Linked DNA regions of Diceros bicornis minor. The protein of the gene in region 1 interacts with the protein of each later gene in a pairwise test. Links are inferred from orthologs where the notes say so. Each region holds a gene or a part of one and is shown in the gene's direction. Other genes may lie near its edges. The genes, in order: POGZ, ZXDC and NFYA.

Region 1 (7,493 bases):
TCTTAATGAAAGCTAATGAGGAACTCTTCTTTTAGAAACCCAGTTTTAAAACTTCCTCTGGCTATTTCTCATCTCCTGAGAATTTTCTGAGCCCCCAGGAAAGTCCTCAGCTCCTCTAAACATAAGGAGGTGGCAAATAAAATTCCTAAATGAAGCCCAGCAGCAGCCTCCGAGTCCCCATTTTGTATTTGACACTGGCCACACATAGACCAGCGTTTGCTTTCTATTTCCCCGTCAAGTGAAGCATTTCAGTGTCCTCATACACGTTGACTTCTCTTGACTCCCAGGCTCAGTGCGATCAGCTGTCAATCTTTCTGAGCTGGGAGATGCTCAGATGGTGAAAATTTCTCCACTGTTTTTCTGTCTCTTACATCTTCCAAAATGAGGGCCCAGCCGGTGGCACAAGCGGTTAAGTGCGCACGTTCCGCTGCGGAGACCCGGGGTTTGCCGGTTTGGATCTCGGGCGTGCACCGACGCACCGCTTGTCAGGCCATGCTGTGGCGGCGTCCCATATAAAGTAGAGGAAGATAGGCATGGATGTTAGCCCAGGGTCAGTCTTCCTCAGCGAAAAAAAAAAAAAAAAAGAGGAGGATTGGCAGATGTTAGCGCAGGGCCCATCTTCCTCACACACAAAAAAAAAATCTTCCAAAATGAGTAGCTCCCTTTGAGCTCCTGGTTTGAACCACCCTGAGTGTGTGTTGTAGAGCAGGATGCTTGTTTTTAAAGAAATCTGGCATTGTCCCCCACAAAGCTGCTTTCTGCCTGGACTGACCTCACAATCCTCTCTACTCCCCACCTCAACACGTACTGGTTAGCCTCACACTGAACCTGAGCAGTCAGTGATTGGGTCTGTATAGTAGCAAAATGACAGCAGAGAGGCACCCATGGCTCACTGCTTTTGAAGACATGCTGAAATCATTTGTCTCTCTGCCTTGACACTGTCCAAGCTACAGGTGGTTCCAATTTTCAACTCATGGCAGAAACCATAAGCCAAGGAAGCAAATAAGTGTTCCCATAGACTGTAGAAAAGAAATACTCTTCTGCTACCTAACTGTGAAATGCATAACTTGGGACTTCCATTAACTTTTGACCTTCCTTCCTAGAAACCCATACGGAGAGGATTCCTTTTTTCTAAGTTGGCTACTGAAGACTGGCGTAGCTTTTTAGCAGCAGTATTAGGGTTCAATTTCTTCAATATACCCAACTAGATTGGCTTTCAGACCTCGCCCCAATATGTCACAGAGGCACATGTGAACTGATTTCTAAGGATTCGACCCAGGTTATTTGTTCTGCTGCTTTGTTTCCCATCATTATCAAGATGGTTCAAGTATAAGAGAAACCACAGCTATCAGTTCTACTGCTTCACTCCAGAAACTTGTGTGTTAGCTGACGATAGCAAAATGTTCCAACACTGCTCAGATTAATATGGACGTTCCCTCTTTAGCACGGGGAATACGTTCCTGGAAATGGGAGCGCTAACACTATAGTCTTTTTTGAGATGCTGCTCCAGTGTTGCAAGGTGGTAGAATTTTCTTCAAATCCTCTGAAGTTATAAAATGTCTCTACCCTTGATTTCTTCCAGCTATCAGTCATTCAACTGTTGATTGATCCTCCCAGACGGTGGCAGTTTGGATACCTTTTATAATGTCAAAGAGCTTACTCCATTCCCTGATTGTTGATCCTTACTCTTGTTTTCTGAATTCTTTACTCAAGGGTGCCTCCAGCCCCCACAAAACTCCTATGTTAACATTCAGCACAATATTCTAACTTTATTTCTCTGTGGTAGGCACAGCACTATCCCTCATACACATTTTGCTAGCCATTATGGGTCAAAACTGTCTCCCATGGCCAAAACTAAATAATAGAAAAATAAGTCACAGAGAAGTAAACAACACACCACGGAACTCACTCAGCTGAAGTAGCAGCTCCACAGCTCCCACCCTGGTCCAGGCCACCATCACCTCTCATCTGGATTATTGCAAGAGCCTCCTAACTCGTCTCCCTGCTTTCACTCTCGTCTCTACAAGGAATTCTCTATAAGCAGCCAGAGTGTTCCTTAAACATGTTAGCCAAGTCATATCACTCCTTGGCTTAAAATCTTCCAACGACTTCACTTGCACTAAGAGTAAAACCTGAACTTGGCTTCACTTTCTTCAGGTCTGTGCTCAAATGTCACCTTAATGACAAAGCATCTCCAATCACCCCACAAAAAATAACACCTCCCCACCCCCACACCACACTCCCAATTCCCCCATCTTGCCCTTTTCCCCATCCATAGCACCTATCACCATATCACATATTATATATTTATTAATATATAACATTCCCATTCCAAATACTTTTCTTACAATGTGATGTTTCTACTACTCCCTTTGAGAGATGTTCCCCACTCGCCTTGAGTCGAGGTGAGCCTGTAACGATAGTGGAAGTGATGCTATGTGACCTCTGAGGCTAGGTCACAAAAAGCCATACAACCACTGCCTGGTCCTCGTGGGGCACTCAATCTTGGAACTCAACCACTATGATATGAGGAAGCCCAGGCACATGGAGAGGCCAACAGCCAGCTGTTCTGGCCAACAGCACCAGCTGCAGTCCAAGCCAACAGTCATCATCAACTTCCAGACTTTTGAGGAAGCTTTTGAGTTGACTTCAGCCCCAGCCACTGCGTGAGACTCCAAGTGAGAACCGCTTAGCTTAGCCTAATCATCTCCCAGAACCATGAGAGATAATAATAAAATTGTTGTTGTTCTAAGCCACTAGGTTTTGGGACCATTTGTTATTCAACTGTAGATATTGGAATAATTTGTTTATGTGTATATTGTATGTCTCTCCCCACTACAGTATAAGCTTCATGAGTTCAGGGATTTTGTTTGTTTTCTTTGTTGCTGTATTCCCAGCACTGAGAACAGTGCCTGGCATATAGCAAGTACTCAGTAAATATTTGTTGAATGAATGATGCATTTTCAATATGGTATGCTAATGGTTATTGGCCAACAGTACATGGTACAGTCTGCTGGCCTAGATGTCATTGGCAGATAGCACGAGCTGGCACTTAGGGCATGGCAAAATATGTTTCAACAAGAATATTTCAGAGGCAAATTATGTTGTAATGAATTATAATAATTATTGTAGGAAAGCATAAAATAGGATTACAACTTCATATAGAATTTGTCTTTTGGTGATTGATTCCATAATCCCACTATGGGCTTTTCCAGACCAGGTCTGGAAAGGCTTCAGAGGTTTAGTGATTCTTTCAATTCAAATAATGAAGTTCTTTCTAAGAATGACTAGTTGAAATCACTCACATGTTTTTGGTATGAAGTGGAAAGAAAATGGGTGGTGGCACGTGCAGCCATGTGCATGGTGCATAATTTGGAATGCCTACTTCCACTGCCTATTTTTGTAGTCTGATGTTTGAATAGAGTGTGTATGTAAAGAGAAGGAATAAATATGGTTCTGGATCTCCCCAATGTTGCACCAACATTTAGCACTTGGTTTGGAGCAAATATTTGTGTATTGCTTAAAGAGCAACAACATCCTCAAATAACCAAGGAAAATATTAAAATTTTACCATCATCTGGGGAGGTAATAAATGACAAAATCTCTTAGCTATCCGGAAACGAGGTTAGTTTTTGTTTGGAGAAAAACAACAGGTGGATGGTCTTGACTAGACTAATCAATTTCTTTGGACCAATCCGTCTCAGCCTTGATTGGAGCAAAAAGCACAGATGTGGAGTCTACAGTTTCTTAGAACTGAGCATCTTGGCTGAGTCTATTTACCATGGTTTCAAAGCAGTTTACATACATGAATCACCTTGATAAGCAATCATGTGTGACTTCTTTCCAGAATCCAGAAAGGTTCAGGGTAAAAATGGTTTTTAAAATTTCTTCACTTAAGGCTACTGCCATAAGACTACTTGGTTGAATGTCTCTTGAGGAAAAGTGAGTGCCATTTTGCTGCCTTTGTTCCAATGACAGTTCTTGGTGCCATTGGGCCTCACCATCTGGCCTGTGGCATGAAGTTCCCCTCTTGCTTTGAGTGGAAAGTGGGGAGATTCCCAAAATTTCCTGGAAAGTCCAGGCAAGTGAATTGGGGAATATTTTCTTTAGAAATTCCATTTTTCTCACCCAAACCTAGATATTGTTTCTGAAGCTAATTATTCTTTATTTCATTTAAAAAAATGTTTTTATTTATTTATTTATTCGCAGCCCCAGACAAACTTGACTAGAAAAGAAGCCCGGGCAGGGGTTAGGATGAGCCCATGACGTGTCATGCGCTTCAACCAATTGAAAGGCCACGAAAGGGGGAGGGCGGAAGTGACGAGCCGTATCCCTCCGCGGGGCGAGAGGGTCGGTGGGGGGAGTCGGCGTCTCTCTCCCCCGCGCCAGCTCCCGTACACGGAGCCGCATTCCTTGGCCCCCCCACCCCCCTCCCTCGGGGCCCCCCCCCCGCCCCCCTCGGGAAAAAAATCCACCCCAAGTCACTCGAACCTGAGGGAGGTTTCCTTTCACCCTCCGGGAGACGAGCTTTCAACGGTTCCCTCTTCTCCGTCTACCCCCAAGCCCCCGTCCCCTCCCCTGCTCCCACCCCCTTCTCCCGGCGCCGGGTGCAAGGTCCCTTTAAGGCGACGGCGCCTTCCTCGGGTCAGACTACCGGCGGCGACGACCACGGGAGGTGAGTGAGCGAGCGAGCCTTCTCTCTCCCCACCCCCTGTTCCCGGGGGTTCCGTTATCTTTTCGCTCGGCGAGGCGTTCCGAGGCGAGACAATGAGAGGGGGATGGGGCGGGTACGAGGGGTGGGGGCGGGGGCCCGGTGGCGCGCCCCTCCGCCCCCCGCGAGTGGCGGCGCGGCCCGCGGCGGCGGCGGGCGTGGGGTGCGGCGCGGGAGCGCGTGTGTGTGTGCGTGTGCGCCCCGGGAGCTGCGGGAGGTGCGCGGCGGGCCGGCCGGGGAGGCCCCTGCCGGCCACCCCCGCCCCCCGGCGCCCGCCGCGGCGCGCGCGCGCGCGCACTCGGGCCCCACGGCCCCACACACACGACGTCCACACGCACGCCCGGCGCGAGGCGTCTCGGAGGAGTGGGCGGGCGCGGGCGCGGGCGGCGGCGGCCCGCTGGGGAAGGGGCGGGGGCGCGGGCGGCGGCGAGGCAGCGGGCGCGGCAGGAGGGGCGGGCGAGGGGGCGAGGCCGCGCGCGGGGAGGGGGGCGGGGTCACGTCCCCCGACGGAGGTGTAGTGCGCGGCCCTGCCGCCTCACCCCCGCCGGGGAAGGAGTGGGGCGCTCTTTTTGAGCGTGAGCAGCAAAATGAGTGATTGGTGAGCCGCTCCCCTGCGTTATGTAATCCCCGCTCGGACCAATCGCACATCCCAAGCTTTAGTGCACTGCAGTTAGTTTACAAAGTCTCCTCCCTCGGCCCTAAAATTTCTTTGGGATGGCGCCGTGATTTATAAAATGGGATGGGGTAGAGAATTTTTATTTTCTGATGGTTATATCCTGCCGCGGTGGGCGCCATGTTTATCCCAGGGACTATTTTCTGGAATCTTAGCACCTACTGAAAAGGAGTGACGTCGCTGATCCACCTGCGGTCCCTCTTTTCTGCGAGTTGTCCTGATTTCCTCTCCCGTTAGAGGCGGGATTCTCTCAAACTGTTGATAACGCTGGACGTTTCTCAGCTCTCTTATATTGGACATTCTTAGCTCAGAAAAGGGTAGAGCTGAAAAGAGTCTTCTAAGTTGTTTAGCCCAGTCTCGTTTTCCAGATGGAAATCGAGATAAGTTGTACTATCTCAGAATAGCTGTCTTCGTGTTGCAGACTGGAGCCCAGCCCTTTACATTCTTTTAAAAAGACACCTCCCACCGCAGCTCAAAACCCCACAGAAACGGAGTTTTACTTTCTAAGGAATTTTCCCATGTAGATGAAAGGGAAAGGACGGGGGCGGGGAGGGTTGCTTCTTGGCGAATGACACTGAATTTGGAATCCGTTGCTCTTGGGACTGGTAGTTGGACTCTGAATTCGAGGTGTTCACAATCGTTCTTAACTTAGGGGTGCATAAAAAATACCTTGTAGATTGCTGGAAGTGCGGTTGTGAGGGCCTCATCCCCAAGTCTCTTTGGGTGAGATGGGGAGGGGGGTGTCATCTTCTCTACATTTAACCTGCAGTCCTTCGTTGAGAATTATTAGTTTAGCATAGAAGTGCTCAAAACATAATCTTAAAACAATGAAATTCAATCTGTGCCCTCTATTTCCTTCCCTTTTTCTGTATTACGGTTATACCAGCTGTGATGTTGGTATATCTTAAAGTAAAGGAACTGACAAAATGAAGAGTCGAGATGCACAGGATTTTATTAGAGTTTCTACACTCACTTTGAACCAATGGTATAATCTAGGAAAGCAGTTCTCAAAGTGTGGTCCACTGACCCCTGGAGATCCCCTTAGACCTTTTCAGAGGAGCCACGAGGTCATATAAGATGCTATTTATTTTTATCACTGTTGTTTGCACTGATAGTCCTAAAGCAGTGCTGGGTGAAACTACTGGTGGCGCTTTAGCACAAAGCAAGGCAGTTGCATGAAACTCTGTTATTAGTTACTTGAGAATGTTGTTGATAAAGCAGTAAAAAATGATTGATTTTATTAAATCTCAGCCCTTGAGTACGTGTCTCTAATTTTTAAGAATCTGTGACCAAATGGGAAGTAGGCATAAAGCGCCTAATGCTGCCTACTCAGATATGAGCCTTGTCATAAGGAAAAGCACTTAGGAGATTGAGTTGAAAGCTGCTCATTTCGTGGAACAGCGTTTTTACTTGAAAGAATGACAAACGACAGTTTTTCACACTTGAGTGTTTGGCGCGTGTTTTCTTGAAAATAAATAAAGTGAGCTTATCACTTTGAGGAAAACACTTGACGGTATTTGTTACCAATGATAAAAATTTGAGAGTGAAAATGAGAATTTTTAAAAAGTTGACATCTCAAGTTTGACAGCTTTATAGCATTTGAAAGATTTTTCTTATAATATCGGTGTTAATTAATGACTGTGATTTTTTAAAAATATTGTATAATGAAATGTATCAACATTTGGAAGATTGGCATAACTCACTAAATCTCTATTTTCCCAATGACCAATGCATGACGTTTTAAAATCACCGTGGGTGAAAAGAACCTTTCAAAATGTAAGATACACCAGTAGATTTTAATGTCACGAAGTACGAAAAGTTCATTGATATGGTTTCAGATCCCAAGATGCAATTATCCTTTAAGAAACTGCCATTTGTTGAGTTTTAGTATTTTGTCAATATAAACAGTTATCTGAAAAGGTTTATAGAATATTTCTCCCTTTTCCTACTGTGTGAGGCAAGATCTTTGTTATAAACTTAACCAAAACAACATATAGCAACAGACTGAATGCAGAAACAGCTATGAGAATGTGACTGCCTTCATTAAGCTAGACATAAAAGATTTGAGAAAATGTAAAACAGTATTACTCTTCTCACTATTTTGGGGAA
Region 2 (7,010 bases), on another chromosome or scaffold:
AGCCTGTGGGATCTGAAGCTATCTCCAGGCAGACAATGTCAGAATTGAGGTAATTGCTTGGTGATGTTGGGGAAAAGCCACATGGTAGGACTCCCAACCCCAGCCCATGCCCACTCCTGCAAGAGCTTGGGAAGTCCTGCACACTTACGTGGGCAACTCAAAGTCCACTATGATGCCTTTCAGCCCATCAGCAGTGCTGGACATCCACCAACATCGGGCTGGTGGGATTTCTCCCCAAATGCAAACAAGCATGACAAGAGCACGTGTGTTATCTGCTTCTCTTCCCCTGGCTGCCCCAAAACACGTTCTACACACCCCTGCTTGGAGAGTACGGGGTCTGGGTGATTGGGGGTTAACAGGCAGTGCTCTGTGGCCCTCCCAATGTGGGAGGAATCTCTTTAGAATATGGAGTTCCTGTCTCTGCCTGAGACACCACCGGACAATGACAGCAACCCTTCAAGCCCAGCATGCAAGTGAGCACATCTGCCCCTCACTGTAAACCCTGTCATTTGTTGCAGCAACAGAGAACCGAGGGTGGTAGGAAGAGCAAGACAAGTCCTTTCCAAACATTCAATAAGGCCAATTTCACTCATTTAAAATTTTTTAAAAATACATAAGTCACTCTTGAAAAGCTGAAAAACAGAAGAGGAGAAACTCATCCACATTGCCACCAAATGTTTTTCATTAAATTTTTTTTCTTTTTTCTTTTATTGTGGTAAAATACATGACATAAAATTTACCATTTTAACCATTTTTAAGCATGCAGTTCAAAGTGTCATTAAGTAGATTCACGTTACTGTTCAACTATCACCACCATCCATCTCCAGAACTCTTTTCATCTTCCCAAAGTGAAACTCTGTACTAATTAAACACTAACTCCCCGTTGCCCTCCCCCAGCCCGTCAACCCCCATTCTACTTTCTGTCCCTATGAATCTGACTCCTCTAGATACCTCATGTAAGTGAGATCATATAATATTTGTTCTTTTGTGACTGGCTTATTCCACCTGGCATAGTGTCCTCAAGGTTCATCCATGTTGTCACATGTGTTAGAATTTCCTTCCTTTTTAAGGCTGAACAATATTCCACTGTATAGATAGACCACATTTTATTTATCCAGTAATCCTTCAATGGACACTTGGGTTGCTTCCACCTCTTGGCTACCATGAATAACGCTGCTGTGAGCACGGGTGTATGGATATATGCCCAGAAGTGGGATTGCTGGGTCATGTGGTAATTCTATGTTTAGTTTTCTGAGGAACTGCCATTATGCTTCCATAGTGGAAGAAATATTTAATCATAAAAATTACTTTAACAGCACTCATGATCTTTAGATCCCCCCTTACTTCAGAAACAGACACAGGGACTAGCACTATCTTGTGTATCTTTCCAGAAACTTTCTAAGATATGCAAGTATGTGAACATATGTGTAATTTTCCCTCCTATACAATTGGGATCCTCCTAAACAATGTTCTGCATTGATTTTTCCTAACAATATATTTTTAGTGGAGACATATAGAGCATAAAAGTCATCATTTCAGTGGTTTTTAGTCTACTCACTGTTTGTGTACCCATCACTACTGTCTAACTCCAGGACATTTCCATCGTCCCAAAAAGAAACCTCGCAGCTATTAGCAGTCACTCCTAATTCCCGCCCCCTCTCTCTATCACCTGGCAACCATCAATCTCCTTCTGCCTCTAGGGATTTGCCTCTTCTGGACATTTCATGTGGATGGAATCGTACAATATGTGGTCTTTTGTGTCTGGCTTCTTTCCCTTAGCATGTTTTCAAGGTTCATCCATGATATAGCATGTATTGGTACTTATTCCTTTTTGTGGCTGAATAATTTTCCATTGTATGGATATGCCACACTTTGTTTACCCATTCATCTGTTGACGGACGCTTGGTTGTTTCCATTTTTATTATGTAGTATTATGAATAATGCTTCTATGAACATTCATAAGCAAGTTTTTGTGTGGATGTGTTGTCATTTCTCTTGGGTATATGCCTAGGAGTGGAGTTGCTGGGTCATATGGAAATTCTATATTTAATTTTTTGAGGAACTGCCAAGCTTTTTTCCACAGCAGCGTCACCATTTTACTTTCCCACTAGAAATGTATGAGGGTTCCATTTTTTCCACATTCTCACGGACACTTATTCTTTTCCATTTTAGAAAATAGCTATGTTAGTGGGTATGAAGTGTTATCTCATTATGGTTTTGATTTGCATTTCCCTAATGACTAGTGATGTTGAGCATCTTTTTGTGTGCTTACTGACAATTTGTATTTCTTTTTTGGAGAAATGCCCATTGAAATCCTTTGCCTGTTTTTAAATTGGGTTGTCTCTTCGTTGTTGAGTTGTAAGAGTTTTTATGTTTTTAAATATATTCTGGATAGATCATTATCAGATATATGATTTGCAGATTTTTCTCCCATTCTACGGGTCGTCTTTTCACTCTCTTGTTGGTGTTGACCTAAAAGAGTTTTTAATTTTGACAAAGCCCAATTTGTTTCTTTCATTGCTTTTGGTTTCATATCTAAGAAACCATTCCCTAATCCAAGGTCACACAGATTTACACCTGTTTACTCCTAATGATTTTTTAGTTTTTGATCTTACATTTAGGCGTTTGATCCATTTTGAGTTACTTTTCGTGTCTAGTGTGAGGTATGGGTCCAACTTCATTCTTTTGTACGTGGATATCCAGTTGTCCCAGCACTATTTGTTAAAAAGGTTATTCTTTCCTCCATTGAATGGTCTTGGAAAAATATATTTTTGGCATAAATTCATAAAGATGTTTCCCATTTTTTTTTCAATATTATTGATGTACCTTATTTTTAAAGTACTTTTAATAATAAAACATTCATCTATTCAATAAATATTTACTGAGAGTCTTCGACGCTGGTCTCTGGGCATACAGCTGTGAATGAGACCCTGTCCTCGAGGAGGCTATATTCTAGAGGAGCGCACAGTGAATTAGTAGGGAAAGGGACAAATAAAGCAATTGCAACTGGGAGCTATGCGAGGAAACAAGGGGGGAGGAGGCGAGGAGAAGGAGCTGGATGAGGACGTACTTTGGACGAGAAGGCCACCTAAGTCTTCCCAGGGGAATCGGAGACCAGCGGGCAAGGTGCGTGAGGCACAGCCAGTTGGCCCTGTTGGAGAAACTGGGAAACAGATGGGGCAGAGGGGCGAGAAACGCGGGCAAAAAGGCGCGCACTGAGGGAAGACTAGCGAGGCAAGAGCCCCGGGGCGCACGGAGGAGGGGCATAGTTCAGAAGGTCACCAAGTCGGCCTCGGGAGAGAGGACTGGCAGCAGTGAGGCAGGCCGACGACCAGCTGCGAGAACCAGGAGTGACACAGAGGTTTGCGTCCGGTTGCGGGAACAGGAGGAGAAACGCAGGGACAGGCTCAGGGCCCTGCAGGCCAGGTCCGGAGCCGGCGCGGGGCTAGAGCGCAGCAAGCTCGCGGGGGCAGGCGTCCAGCCGGCCGGCAGAAACTAAGTGTCGGAACCCCGGTCCCCTGCTCCCGGCTCTGCGCTCTCCGTGACTCGCTTTCCTCACAGCCGTGAGGGCGAGGACCGCTGGCTGCTACGATTGCTTCCCTACCAAGACAACGGCCAGGACTGACAGGGAACCCGCACAAGCTCTCGAGGGCCCGACCCGCGGAGCGCCGGCGGGGCCGCGCCGGAGCGCCTGACGTCACGAGGCCCAGCAGGCCTCGCGCGACGCACCGCCCCCCGGCTCCCGCGCACGCGCAGCACCTCCCCCCGCCGCCGCCGCCGCCGCCGCCGCCTCCCGCGCACGCGCAGCTCGGGGCCGGACTCCGCGCCGCGCTCCGAGCCGGGCCTTGGCACCGCCCACCGGGGCCACACGGCGTCGCGCACGCCTGGGAGGGGCGGGGCGCGCTTCCTCCGAGGCGGCGGGGCGACGGTGCTGCTGGGCCCAAGATGGAGCTCCCGGCGCTGCTCGCCGCCCCGGCCCCGCGCGGAGCCCAACATGGCGACGGCGGCGGCCCCGGCCAGCAGCGCAGAGGTCCTGCGCCGCCCGGCCCCGGCCCCGCGCGCCGCCGCCTGCTGCTGCTGCGGGGCCCCGAGGACGGCGCGCCGGGGCCGCGGCGCGGGGAGGCCGGGGCGGCGGCGGCGGGCCCCGCGCCCAGCCCGCCCCACGAGGACGGCGGCGACTCCTTCGTGGTGCTGCTGGAGGTGGCGCGCGCCGGCTCGGACGAGGTCCCCGGGCGGCGGGAGCCCGTTCCCGGCGTCGCCGCGAGCCCCGCCCGCCGCCCGCCGCAGGGCCCCACCGGCGCGGCCGCCTCCCCCGGGCCGGGCGGCGACCCCTCGCACGGCCGGGACCTGCTCGTGCGCCTCGACCGCGGCGTCTTCACGCTGGCCGCGCCGCCCGCGCCGCCGCCCCAGGGCCCGCCCGCGCCGCCCAGCGAGGAGGCCGCGAGCCCGGACGCGCGCCGCCGCGGGCCCCCGGGCCCTGGCTACCGCTGCCCCGAGCCGCAGTGCGCGCTCTCCTTCGCCAAGAAGCACCAGCTCAAGGTGCACCTGCTCACGCACGGCGGCAGCCAGGGCCGGCGGCCCTTCAAGTGCCCCCTGGACGGCTGCGGCTGGGCTTTCACCACCTCCTACAAGCTCAAGCGGCACCTGCAGTCGCACGACAAGCTGCGGCCCTTCGGCTGCCCCGTGGGCGGCTGCGGCAAGAAGTTCACCACCGTGTACAACCTCAAGGCGCACATGAAGGGCCACGAGCAGGAGAGCCTGTTCAAGTGCGAGGTGTGCGCCGAGCGCTTCCCCACGCACGCCAAGCTCAGCTCCCACCAGCGCAGCCACTTCGAGCCCGAGCGGCCCTACAAGTGCGACTTTCCCGGTAACCGCGCGCCGCGGGCTGCGGGGGGCCCCGGGGGATCGGGTCCGAGTGGAGTCGCTCGGTTGGGTGCGGCGGCGCCCGCCCCCGGCTGCTCTGCTGGGCAGGATCGGAACTCGGTGGGCCAGGTGTGAGGAGCGGGAACGGAGCACGCTGGTGTTTGTGCTCTTGGTGTTTCCAGCTGATTCGATTTGACACCTTAACCCTGCGGGGGTTTCGACAGCGAGGTAGCACGAATAATCACAGCCGTCCTTCCCCACGGTGAGGACAACAGAGCTCTGAAGGGGCCTCCGGTTAATGAAAGTGATAGCGCATCTTCCCAGTGATTTGAGTTATGAGTCAGGTCTTTCCCTCTGTCTTGTCATTTAAAAATATTCAGTCGTCAGACGCTTACGGGGTGCACACCCCCTCACCCCCGCGAACACGGGAACCCGGGTGAATCTGGCCAGATGCAAGACTGTTAGGCGCTGAGGGCATAATCGCAGGTGCATGGTTCGTCACAGTTTTCTGCTTGTTATACTTTTATTTCCTTTGGACTTCACACTTCTGTGAAGTTCTAAAAATTATCCTGATTTTACAGATGAAGAGACCAATACTGAGCAACGTGGAAAAAATCCAGTGGAGGGTTCTTGCTCCATTGTGATCGCCCCCAGTGTGGGGAATGTGAGGCTCCACACAGAGAGCTCTTCACCAGGATAGGCAGGTGTAGGTGCTCTAAGAGGGAGAGTGTGCCTTCGGAGGAGGAAGAGGAGATTCCTGCCTGGGAAAGAGTTGGTTTGGGGGACTAGGGTGGAAGGCAGTGCTGGTGGGTGAAACCACAGAGCCAAGGCAGGGCATGTGGGCTGTGCTGAGGGCCTGTGGGAAGTGAAGTTGGAAGGGCCAAGTAGAGGGTGAAGGACTTTCCACATCCCGTACATTACAACAGAAACTCAAGTGTGCCCAGCATGCGCCCAACGTGCATATTGATTTGTTACATATATGCAGTTCTGTCCTAATGATGTGTTATGAAATATACTCAAATGTGGGGATTTTGAAAGGGTGAAATGAAAAATATCAACGAGATTTAATATTTTCTTCCTACATGCCCATGCACTGTCTTGTGCGTTCCTCTTTGTGGAGAGCGTGGGTTTAGGCCACTGATTCAAAACCTTTCTTGGTCATATGCTCTGGGAATCTGATGGTGGCTTATAGGCCGCTCCCTAGTAAAATGCACGAAGAGCGTCATTCTGAGTATAATACTGGGAGTCCAGCCTGGTCTAGGGCTTGAGGTCCCCCTGAGGGTTTTGAGTTGGATGGTGAGTGGGGCATCAGCGTTGGAGATGGTAGAAGCAGGAGAGGGACCAGTGAAGCCCACATTAAGTGTTCCAAACCTGAGTTTCCTGAAGGCAGATGTAGGTAGAGGCAGTGGCAATGGTGAGGAGGCAGCATTGAAGGCTGTGATGGTCCATTGTGCGGAGGGTGGTTCTTGCTAAGGCAGAGAGATTTAGCCTGTTCAGATTTACCTGACAGACTGTGTGAATACACCAAAACCCAAAATGGGAGGGGAGGGCGGGCAGATTTATGCAAAAGGGGAGGATTTTAGGGTGTTTAGGAAGGTCAGCATTTCCCAGTTGAGTGTTGCTCGGAAGAGCAGGGCTGCTTGGGCTAGTACTTTTATGCGGTGCTGTGCAGAGTGTGGTTACAGATGCGATGGTAGCATGTTAAAGGCTCTGAGAAGAGCTGTGACAAAGACATCTGATAAACATCTTGTAACGTGACGTTTTCCACCCGATTTGAGCACTGAACCTTTGGGTCAAAGGAGAACTACTGATGTGGGAAGTCTGGAAATTGCTGAGGTAGGCCCCTTTCTGGTGGCTCAGCTGGGGGTTGAAGGTGCAGGTGATGGGAAAGGCCATGTGAGGAAAGATGACCTCGGAAACCTCCTTTGACAGGGCAGGGAACCCTGAGGAAAGGGGCAAGAAGAGAGAGAAGCCCGATGACAGAGGTGGGGCCGCCAGTTGCGGAAGGTGTCAGGGAGGACATTTGTAAGTGTGGGGGATGCAGCATCGCCCCCAGGGGTGGGTGAAAAAGTCTCAGCCTCGCAGTGGTTTGTGGCCCTTCCACACTGAACCCGACCAGACAAAATCTTGTTCCTTAGGATCTGATT
Region 3 (8,033 bases), on another chromosome or scaffold:
TAGAACGTTAAGGAAGATAAAAGGGAGAAGAGGGACAAAGGACAGGATCTCTGTGAAAACGAAGTCGAGATGGAATGCTGCGAAATGCCAAGCTGACTGCAATTCAGGTCTTCTCAACATGCTGGTGGGAAACTTCAACCAGCCCACAACACTACTACCTGGCACCTTCCTTCCAACAGGTTATTATTGACCCTCAACATCCCCAGGGAAAAACAAAAGGCTTAAAATTGCTAATTTCATATAATGGGATAATTAAGTCCCCCCAAAAGTTGTGATTAAAAAAAAAGTTCCTGATACATAAGCCATGAACATATTAAGATCAGTGTAAGATGAGGGACCCTGAGCCACATTCATAAAGTAACTTGGGCTTAGAATAAACCTGCATGGTCAGCACTGACTCAAAACCAGAGTGAGAAGACAAGAAATGGTGACTCCAAGCCTATTTCCTGAAAAGGAAGCAAAGGGGATACTGAACCCTCAGTGTCATTCCCTTAAGTTCTCAATAGCTGGGATCTAAAATGTTACATCAGGAACATATTCTCTGGCTACAACCCACGCTGACCACAAACAAGCATGCAATTTAAAAGGCAGTGAGAATTTACAACTTTCTTCACATAGGATTAACAGGTTTGGGACATCTGAAGTGGCCCAGAGAAATCACAATTGCTCAGTCTTGGCTCTTTAGCTTATATTGCTTTAGAGAGAGCAGCTAAGCTTCAGATAGAGGATGCCCATAATTCAACCAAGGTGACTAACAATGGTTCCTCCCTACTAAGTAGGCTGAGGCAGGTGTGTGTTTTAATCATCCTGATTCATTCAACCCAGGCTAAGAAATAGGTATGCCTTAACTTAAGGCCTGACAACTGGTTCACTAGTGATTTTAAAAAGTTTTGAAATTTGTCCACCTTTAAGTCTATATTTTGGCTTAAGTTAAGCTTTTAAGTCATTTGTCTCCGGGTAAGACAGTAAACCCCACCACCTGAATTAAGTCTTCATTTAGGGCCCTGGATTTCCTTGCCTGGGCATGGAGAGGTCAGTGACTCCATTCTTCAGACAATGGGACTTCATGGCCTCTAAACTCTTCCGTAAGTTTTCATAAGTTGGTTTGTGTGAAGCCCTTTTCTTTGTAATCTGAGTACAAAGAACAAATTCAAACTTCTGTTAATCCAAAATGATAGCCAAAGAAAAACCATCACATTCTCCCAACATCCTGATAATTAAGTATATTTTTATAGAATAGTCTAGAGCAAGGATGACAAATGTCATAGACTGTCCCTTCCAGTTATGTGAGGCCCTCAGGAAAATCCACTAAATAGGGCCTGAGAAACCCAGACACTGCCATGTAATACTCTTTCCTTCTCCCAATAAGCCCAGGAGATTAGCAGGCTATGCCTATTGTCTAGTGTTTTTAAGCAAGGTAGGTGCAAGCCTTTGTGCCACTTCCAAGAGAGAAGCTGCATATCTGTAAGAACCCATACCACCTGAAAATTTCCTGTTAAGTCTATTTATTTAGAAACTGTGCTTGCTTGCTTTTTGTTTCTCTATAAGAGAACAGAGAAACTGGTAGCATTCCAAACCAGAAGTCCCATCGGCCTTAAAGACAGCATTCAAAGGGGCTAGGACATGTCCCCACTCAGCCTGCTATCCAAATCAGGCTTATAGTGAACTGGCTGTATGTCACCCAGCACCATCACCAAGAAACCACACTCTTTCTGGGGCTGAAGACCACTTGGACAGTGGAAAAATCCCATTGAGGCAGCAGGTGGGAAAGGAGCTGAGTATTACCTGGATTTGATAGGGAAGAATGAGAGAGAAACCTCCTTGGACAATCTGTCTCTTGAGACACTACTGTTTCTCTCTCACCATGATTAGGAAGGAATTAAGTACGGAAGGCATCCCTAACTTCTGCAAGTCTTAGAACCCAGGCCTTTGGCGGATGTCACGGTACTCTTTCCATGGAGCTGGGATGCAGCCTCATGTTCTTTCTAATCCAGTGCTCCAAACAGCCACCACCACTGGATCGAGATCAGAAGCTTTTGACATCCTTGGCTCGTCTAGACTGGAACATCACGATCAACACAATTGCAGTACAGCCCATTTGTTCACCAATCCTTAGAGCGTACTGAGAATCAGCCCCGTCTTACCAAGTAATATATATATCGCCCATCTCTCTTCAGCACAGCCACTTCTCCAGATTTCTTTTCTAAGAAAAACAGGTATTTAATAGCAGAAAGAAAAAAGAAAACCAAAACACTGATCTCCACTCTTAGATTTTTAAAAAATCTTTACAAATCTGAGTTTACCTCAGGAGAAATAATTTTCAACTCTGAAGAAACCTGCTGTCTCCTACGAACATTTTGCTCCTTATCGCCTTCCTAAATACTATATTCGTTAACTTCCAGCTTTCTTAATCGTTTTCCTCTCACCCCATCTTTTCTCCTGCCCCTATTTTCAAATACATCCTTATTTCTTCACTAAAGAAACTTTTATGTCTACTGCTTTGAAATGTTTTAGAATGTACAGCATTTTTTACTTGCCAAATGTGTATTCATTCAATAATCATCTTTTTTACATACAAAAAGCTAACACGTTAAGCATTATGGGGAAACAGAGGTATAAAAGAGTTCCTAATTAAACAGTTTTCAATCAAGAGTAGGTGTCATGTTTACAAATAACTACAATACAAAGCAGTAAGAAATTGCTCTTTTAAAGGCTGGGGTCAGAATCATCAGTGGAAACTGACTCCGTAAGCCTGGACTGTGGTCTGAGCAACTGTTTCAGAAGCTCCACAAGTGATGTGAATACACATCTCCGGTTTAAAACCATTGGTAGAAAAGTGATGGGAGGGTGTGTATAGGAAGAGGAGGTTTCTAAACTCCTCTTGGAAGAATAAGTACAATGTGGATGAAGAGAGAATCTTGAATGCCAAGCTAACACCTGTGGACTTTGCTAAGCACTTCAGAGTTATTAAAGGTTTCAGAGAAGTGGAGTAATATTATCAAGAAAGTTTTATGACAGAGGAGGAAGAGATTAGAAACTTTTACAATTCAGATTTGATGTGATAAGGACTCAGACTAGAGGCCATTTCTGTAGAGGAAACAATCTGAAGAGTTAAAAGTACTCAGCGATTAGGAACTCCCTCTTTGCATGTATATTTTGTTTAATAATTAAAGTATAACAGGAGGTCAAGAGATGCTCTAGCTAGGGCAGCAGACTTAAGCTGTTTTCAAAACTCACGTTGATTTATCAGTTCCTGCACTCCTCCAAATTTCTTCTTGAAGAGGACAGCTATCCCAGCACCCATTCGACAATCCTCACTGATACAGTGCGCTAAAGAGTCTGTTTTGGGGCATGCAAAGAGGTCTCCTTTCACATAAGTGATCTAAAACGTGCAAAAGGAAAGAAAATGTTTTATTAGATTCAAAAAAATATTAAGCTATTTCTCTCATTTTCCTTTACTGTGTCCCCCACTCCCTCTCCTCCCCTGCCCCTCCTTGATTTAAAGCCAAATCCTCAGAATTTAATTTAAGGAGTTAACGACCACGAATTAAAGCACGTGTAAAAGGCAAGAGCTGGATGGTCTCTGCCTAGCACTGTATTAGCCTTTCAGAAGTAAATCAGCTGGAAAGAGAAAAAAAAAAGGCAATTCAATTATTGCTTTAATTAAAAAGTGTTTATGCATTTGACCTCAATCTTTCTGAACTTCAGTTCAGCAATAAGTTAATAGTTGTTACGCACTCTGCTTCCTTCAGGATCTTCATTAGGGCTGCCGGCCATGATACTGAGTGGCTATTTCCAGAATGTGTTTCTTCAGCTATGAGAAGGAAAAGGAAGCTAGGATGCTTAGGCAGCCTGAACATATTATACATTCAGATTGCCCCGACCACGCACTTAATAATTTTCCCCCCCAACGTTTATCGCTGAATTTGAGTGCGTTCGGCCTCTAGAAAGTAACACAAAACTCTCTGGTGCAAGCAGCAGCAGCCTGCCTCCCGAGCCACGCCTCCTCCCTTCTCCCGCCCGAGCCAGGCGGGTTTAGGACAATCTCCTTTTTCCTGCACCGCGCACAAGCATTTCCCCAGTGGATCTGGCCTAGAAGCAAAAAGGAATGACCTGGCCACAGTCCCCTTAAGCCGCAACGAGGGAGTGCACCGGCCGGGGGGAGTGTCCCGCCGAGCCGCAAGCAGGGGACGGGGAAGGCTCACCTCCTCTTTTTTTGGGGGGAAGGAGTCTAGAGAACCTCCCCTTTTCCTACCCCAAGGCGGGTCAGCGAGGGCGTGGGGCCTGTCCTGGAGTCCCGCGGGAGGGAGCGAGGAGGCTCGCCCAGAGTCCCAACGTCCCGCGATTACCCTTCACCTGAAAAGGAGGCGGCCGTTAGGAGTCCCGCCCCGCGGGGAAGGGCTCCGGATCCGGCCCTGGTAGGTGGGGAGCGGGGGACGAGCCCAGACGCGGGACCAATCCCGCCACAGCCTTTAATTGCGCGCGCCTAAGATGGCCGCCCAACCCCGGGAGCGGGGCGGAAACGAGCCCCTCTAGCTAACTAGCCGAACCTCCACTCTTTGGTCGTGGCCGCCGAACTTCCGGCGGTAAATTCCGCGGAGTCTCCCGCCGCCGCCCGGGCATGCGTAACGACACAGCCCACCGCGAACGGGGCAGAACGGCGCTTGCGCATTAGCCCCAGGGGTGTGTCTCCAGTGGCCGCATAGAAGGGGGAGGGCAGTTGGCACAGGAGCTAGTTAGCGCCTGCGTAGTACTATGTTCAGGGCGGTGTTTGAGTCGAAGGGTCTGGCGCTTCCAGAAGGCGCCTGCGTAATCCTTCGGCGGGGGGGTGGTGTCAAATCGGGGAAGTGGGCGTGGCCGCAGGGGACGCCTGCGCAATGCTCCTTCAGGTGGGGGTGGGGCGAGCCCCGAGCAGAGGCTAGTGGGCGTGGTCTCAGAGGCGCCTGCGCGGAGGCGGTTGGAGGGAGGCCCGATTCCCCTTTGTTCGGGTTCGCCATTTTGCGAGGCAGCGGCAGTGGCGGCGGCAGCGGCGGCTGGAGCCTCTGATTGGGTTTCGGGGTCCGGTACTGGAGCCAATCAGCGCGGGCAGCGAACCGGGGGAGCGAAGCACGGTGAGCGTGAGGAGCCAATATCCAGCGGCCCAGAGCCGGCCCCAGCGCCCCGATTGGCGGGTCTCGCTGACCACTCAGGAGAGGCCCAGGCTCCCGTCGAGCCCGGGGAGTCGAGCTGAGCCTCGCCGAGCCGGGCGGCTGGCGGTGCGGCCCCGGAGCCTGCGAGCGCCCCGGGGCACTCCCGGCCGAGGCCTGCAGGGGGCCGCCCCGTGCGGGCATGGCGCCCTCGGGAGCCGGCACCTCGGGGTCCAGACCCCGGCGGGGTGCTGGTGCCGGTTGGGGATGCGTCCTCGTCCCCCGAGACTTAGGCCCAGGGTCTCAGACCCCAGGCTCGGAGTGGTGGGCTTGCCTGCCACGGATGCTCCTCCGCTCCGGCGCACACACGTGCCCGGGGCCTCGGCCGTTTCCTGCCGGTCGGTCGGGCCTCACACTTAAGCCTGCCCTTGCATCTTCCACGCTCCGGTCCTCGGGCCGGGCAGTCCTCCCCGCGGGGCCCGCGTCCCCAGCCCTCCGTGAGCCGCGTCTGCCGTTTGCAGCCCTCTGGGGTCGGGAGGGGGCCCTGGGTAGGACGCACGCGGCGGCCACAGGGCCCCGGGTGCGGCGGGAGAGGGGGCGGGCCCCCCCCGGCGCCCCGCGGGCCCTCCCCGCCGTCTCCCCGGCCGGGGAGGGGTCCGTTAGTGCGCCCACTCCCCTGCCCCGCCGCCCCTCCCGCACGCTCGGCCCGGGTCTTCGGCCCCGCGCCGTTACCACCCCCTTTTGGCTCGTCATTTCCTCTCCTCCCCGCCCCGCTCCCGGGGCAGCACCGCACACCTCCGGCTTGGAGTCCAACCAAGCGGTCTCCGTTTCTCGGCTGGGCTGTAAGGCCAGTCCATTCGGTGCTTGGAACCTCATCGTAGAAGACTGTTAGCCCTGCTCATTCCTTTTCCCGAAGGCTGCACAACCTGCTTTTCATACTAGTGTTACCCACTGCTCGTCTTGTGAACTCTCCCGTCCTTGGGAATGTACAGTTTTTTTCTTTCACCTTTGTGTCGCTTTGAATGTGTAAGGCTTGTCTCTTAGCTCAGTTCATAGCCATGTCTTGGTTTACTTTTTTTCTAATATACTTTCTAATCCCGTGTTAACGTTTTCTTAGCAGATGTTTATAGAAACTTAGTGTTGTGGGGTTTTCGTTAGGGTGGAAGGGACTCTCCATTGACAACCACGTCTCCAGCAGTTAGTATCCAGCGGGCATAGATCTGTGTCCTGGGGAGCAAGTAGGTAGAGGGAAATAAGAACCTTTTCCGCCTGGTGGAGATTGACAGGTGAACAGCTGATTAGTACCTAACGGCTGGTGCTGTAACGGGGCCAAGTTGAGTTCAGTGAAGGACTGATGTGTGAGCTACCAACAGCCTCCGTGGAAGGCTCAACATCGCCACACTTTCGATTGGCCATGAAGGACGATAGTATTTTTTCGGACAGGAAAGAATGGAAGAGCGTTGCTCACAAAGAAAAGAGCAAATTGTGCCGTGCGTTTGAGGCGAAGATAGGATAGGGCAGTGGGCAATGCTGGTGCGAGTTGAGACTGGAAAGCCGAGTTAGTACGAGCATTTGTATATCTTGATGAGGAATTTTGCGGAAGCAGTTATTTTGTGGAGGTTCAGATAGAAGAAATCTAGAAGTATGTTTTTTTCTAAGATTGGAAAAACAAGTTTCTGATTTGTGGGGTTCTGCCCGGTAACAGCAGCTGACTTCTTTGGGGGAAGAGAGGGAGATTTTTCTCCTAGGCCTTGAAAAGTTTTGACTCCTTTGAAGCACCTAGTGCAGTCGCTGGCACACAGAGTAGGTCTTCAGTATATGGTGCCCATTTTTATAATCACGTTTACTAAGATCATACAACTGGTAGGTTTCAGAAAACAACTAGTCCAGTGCTCTCTCTACTTGTCAAACTTTGGAAACAGTTTTTGTTTTCACTTTTTAGAATGTTTTTCATTGTTTAAATCGTTTTCTTAAATTCATTTAATTCTCGCTACATTATCCATATTAAAGGAGAAGCATGTCTTAGATAATTTTTAGAACACTTAGATTTGCCTTTGGAATAGATATTTTAACGTTGGTATTCAAAAACAGGTATATCTGGTCACTTGACAACCATCCAACACTTTCACTAGACTTCTTTCTAGAAGGCAGTTATAGTCTGGTCACTTTTTTGCTGAACACCTCTAGGGCCTCCACCTGTCTGCAAGAAGAACTTCTTTGCCTGGAATTTTGAGAACAGTGGTCTAGCCGCCAGCCTTCTCTTGACATGGGGCCTTTTAGTCTACTGTTCTATGCTGAAATTTTTCTGTCCTTGTTTTTATGCTCTCTCTTCGTTTGGAGTACTCTGCCCCCTCCCACATCATCATATAGTATAAATCCTCCTCACACTTAAGACCAGGTCAGATGTCACGTTTTCCTAAAGCTTTTCTTGATTTTTCTATTCCCAGCAGGAAGAAATCTCTGTCCTCACAGAGAAATCTCTGTTCTCCAAAATCCCGTATTACCTTCTTCCTCTTTTAGGGTTCTAGTACATTTTTACCCCTTCACTAAACTTAAAGACTCTTTGAAGTTAGAATCTTTGTCAGAGTTTTCTTTTTATTTCTGAAACCTTCAGGACAGTGTCTGGCACATCATTAGTGGAGAGGAGGAGCAAATTAGGAACTCCAATCCAGAAACCTCAGACAGTGCAGAAGCTGGACACGCTGTGTTCTCTAATCTTTTATCAAACAGATCAGGACCCATTGGTTGCATTGTGAAATCAATTTAGTGGGCCAATGCTGATATTTTTTTGTAATAAAATAGAAAATATCAAAGTGCATCTTATGTTACATAAAGATAAGTATTCGTGAAACGTTTGTTTCAGTTACTTTTTTTATATGTTGTGTGTGCAGTGATTTGTGATACGAA

The links.
Region 2: the proteins of POGZ (region 1) and ZXDC interact in binary tests that used the Homo sapiens proteins (3 or more experiments, as listed by UniProt). The link is inferred for Diceros bicornis minor from reciprocal best matches to the Homo sapiens genes POGZ and ZXDC.
Region 3: the proteins of POGZ (region 1) and NFYA interact in binary tests that used the Homo sapiens proteins (3 or more experiments, as listed by UniProt). The two-hybrid records come from large-scale screens. The link is inferred for Diceros bicornis minor from reciprocal best matches to the Homo sapiens genes POGZ and NFYA.

Annotation. Positions count from the first base shown.
Region 1 is NC_080743.1:55,723,644-55,731,136, reverse strand, and holds the start of POGZ (pogo transposable element with ZNF domain), read left to right. Parts: upstream 1-4,393; 5' UTR 4,394-4,675; intron 4,676-7,493. UniProt on the Homo sapiens protein: Plays a role in mitotic cell cycle progression and is involved in kinetochore assembly and mitotic sister chromatid cohesion.
Region 2 is NC_080741.1:90,769,945-90,776,954, reverse strand, and holds the start of ZXDC (zinc finger protein ZXDC), read left to right. Parts: upstream 1-3,907; 5' UTR 3,908-3,945; coding exon 3,946-4,867; intron 4,868-7,010. UniProt on the Homo sapiens protein: Cooperates with CIITA to promote transcription of MHC class I and MHC class II genes.
Region 3 is NC_080753.1:24,261,623-24,269,655, reverse strand, and holds the start of NFYA (nuclear transcription factor Y subunit alpha), read left to right. Parts: upstream 1-5,021; 5' UTR 5,022-5,111; exon of another isoform or gene 5,112-5,662; intron 5,663-8,033. Other genes in the region: ADP-ribose glycohydrolase OARD1, read right to left, coding at 1,019-1,131, 2,145-2,203, 3,238-3,382, 3,739-3,777. UniProt on the Homo sapiens protein: Component of the sequence-specific heterotrimeric transcription factor (NF-Y) which specifically recognizes a 5'-CCAAT-3' box motif found in the promoters of its target genes.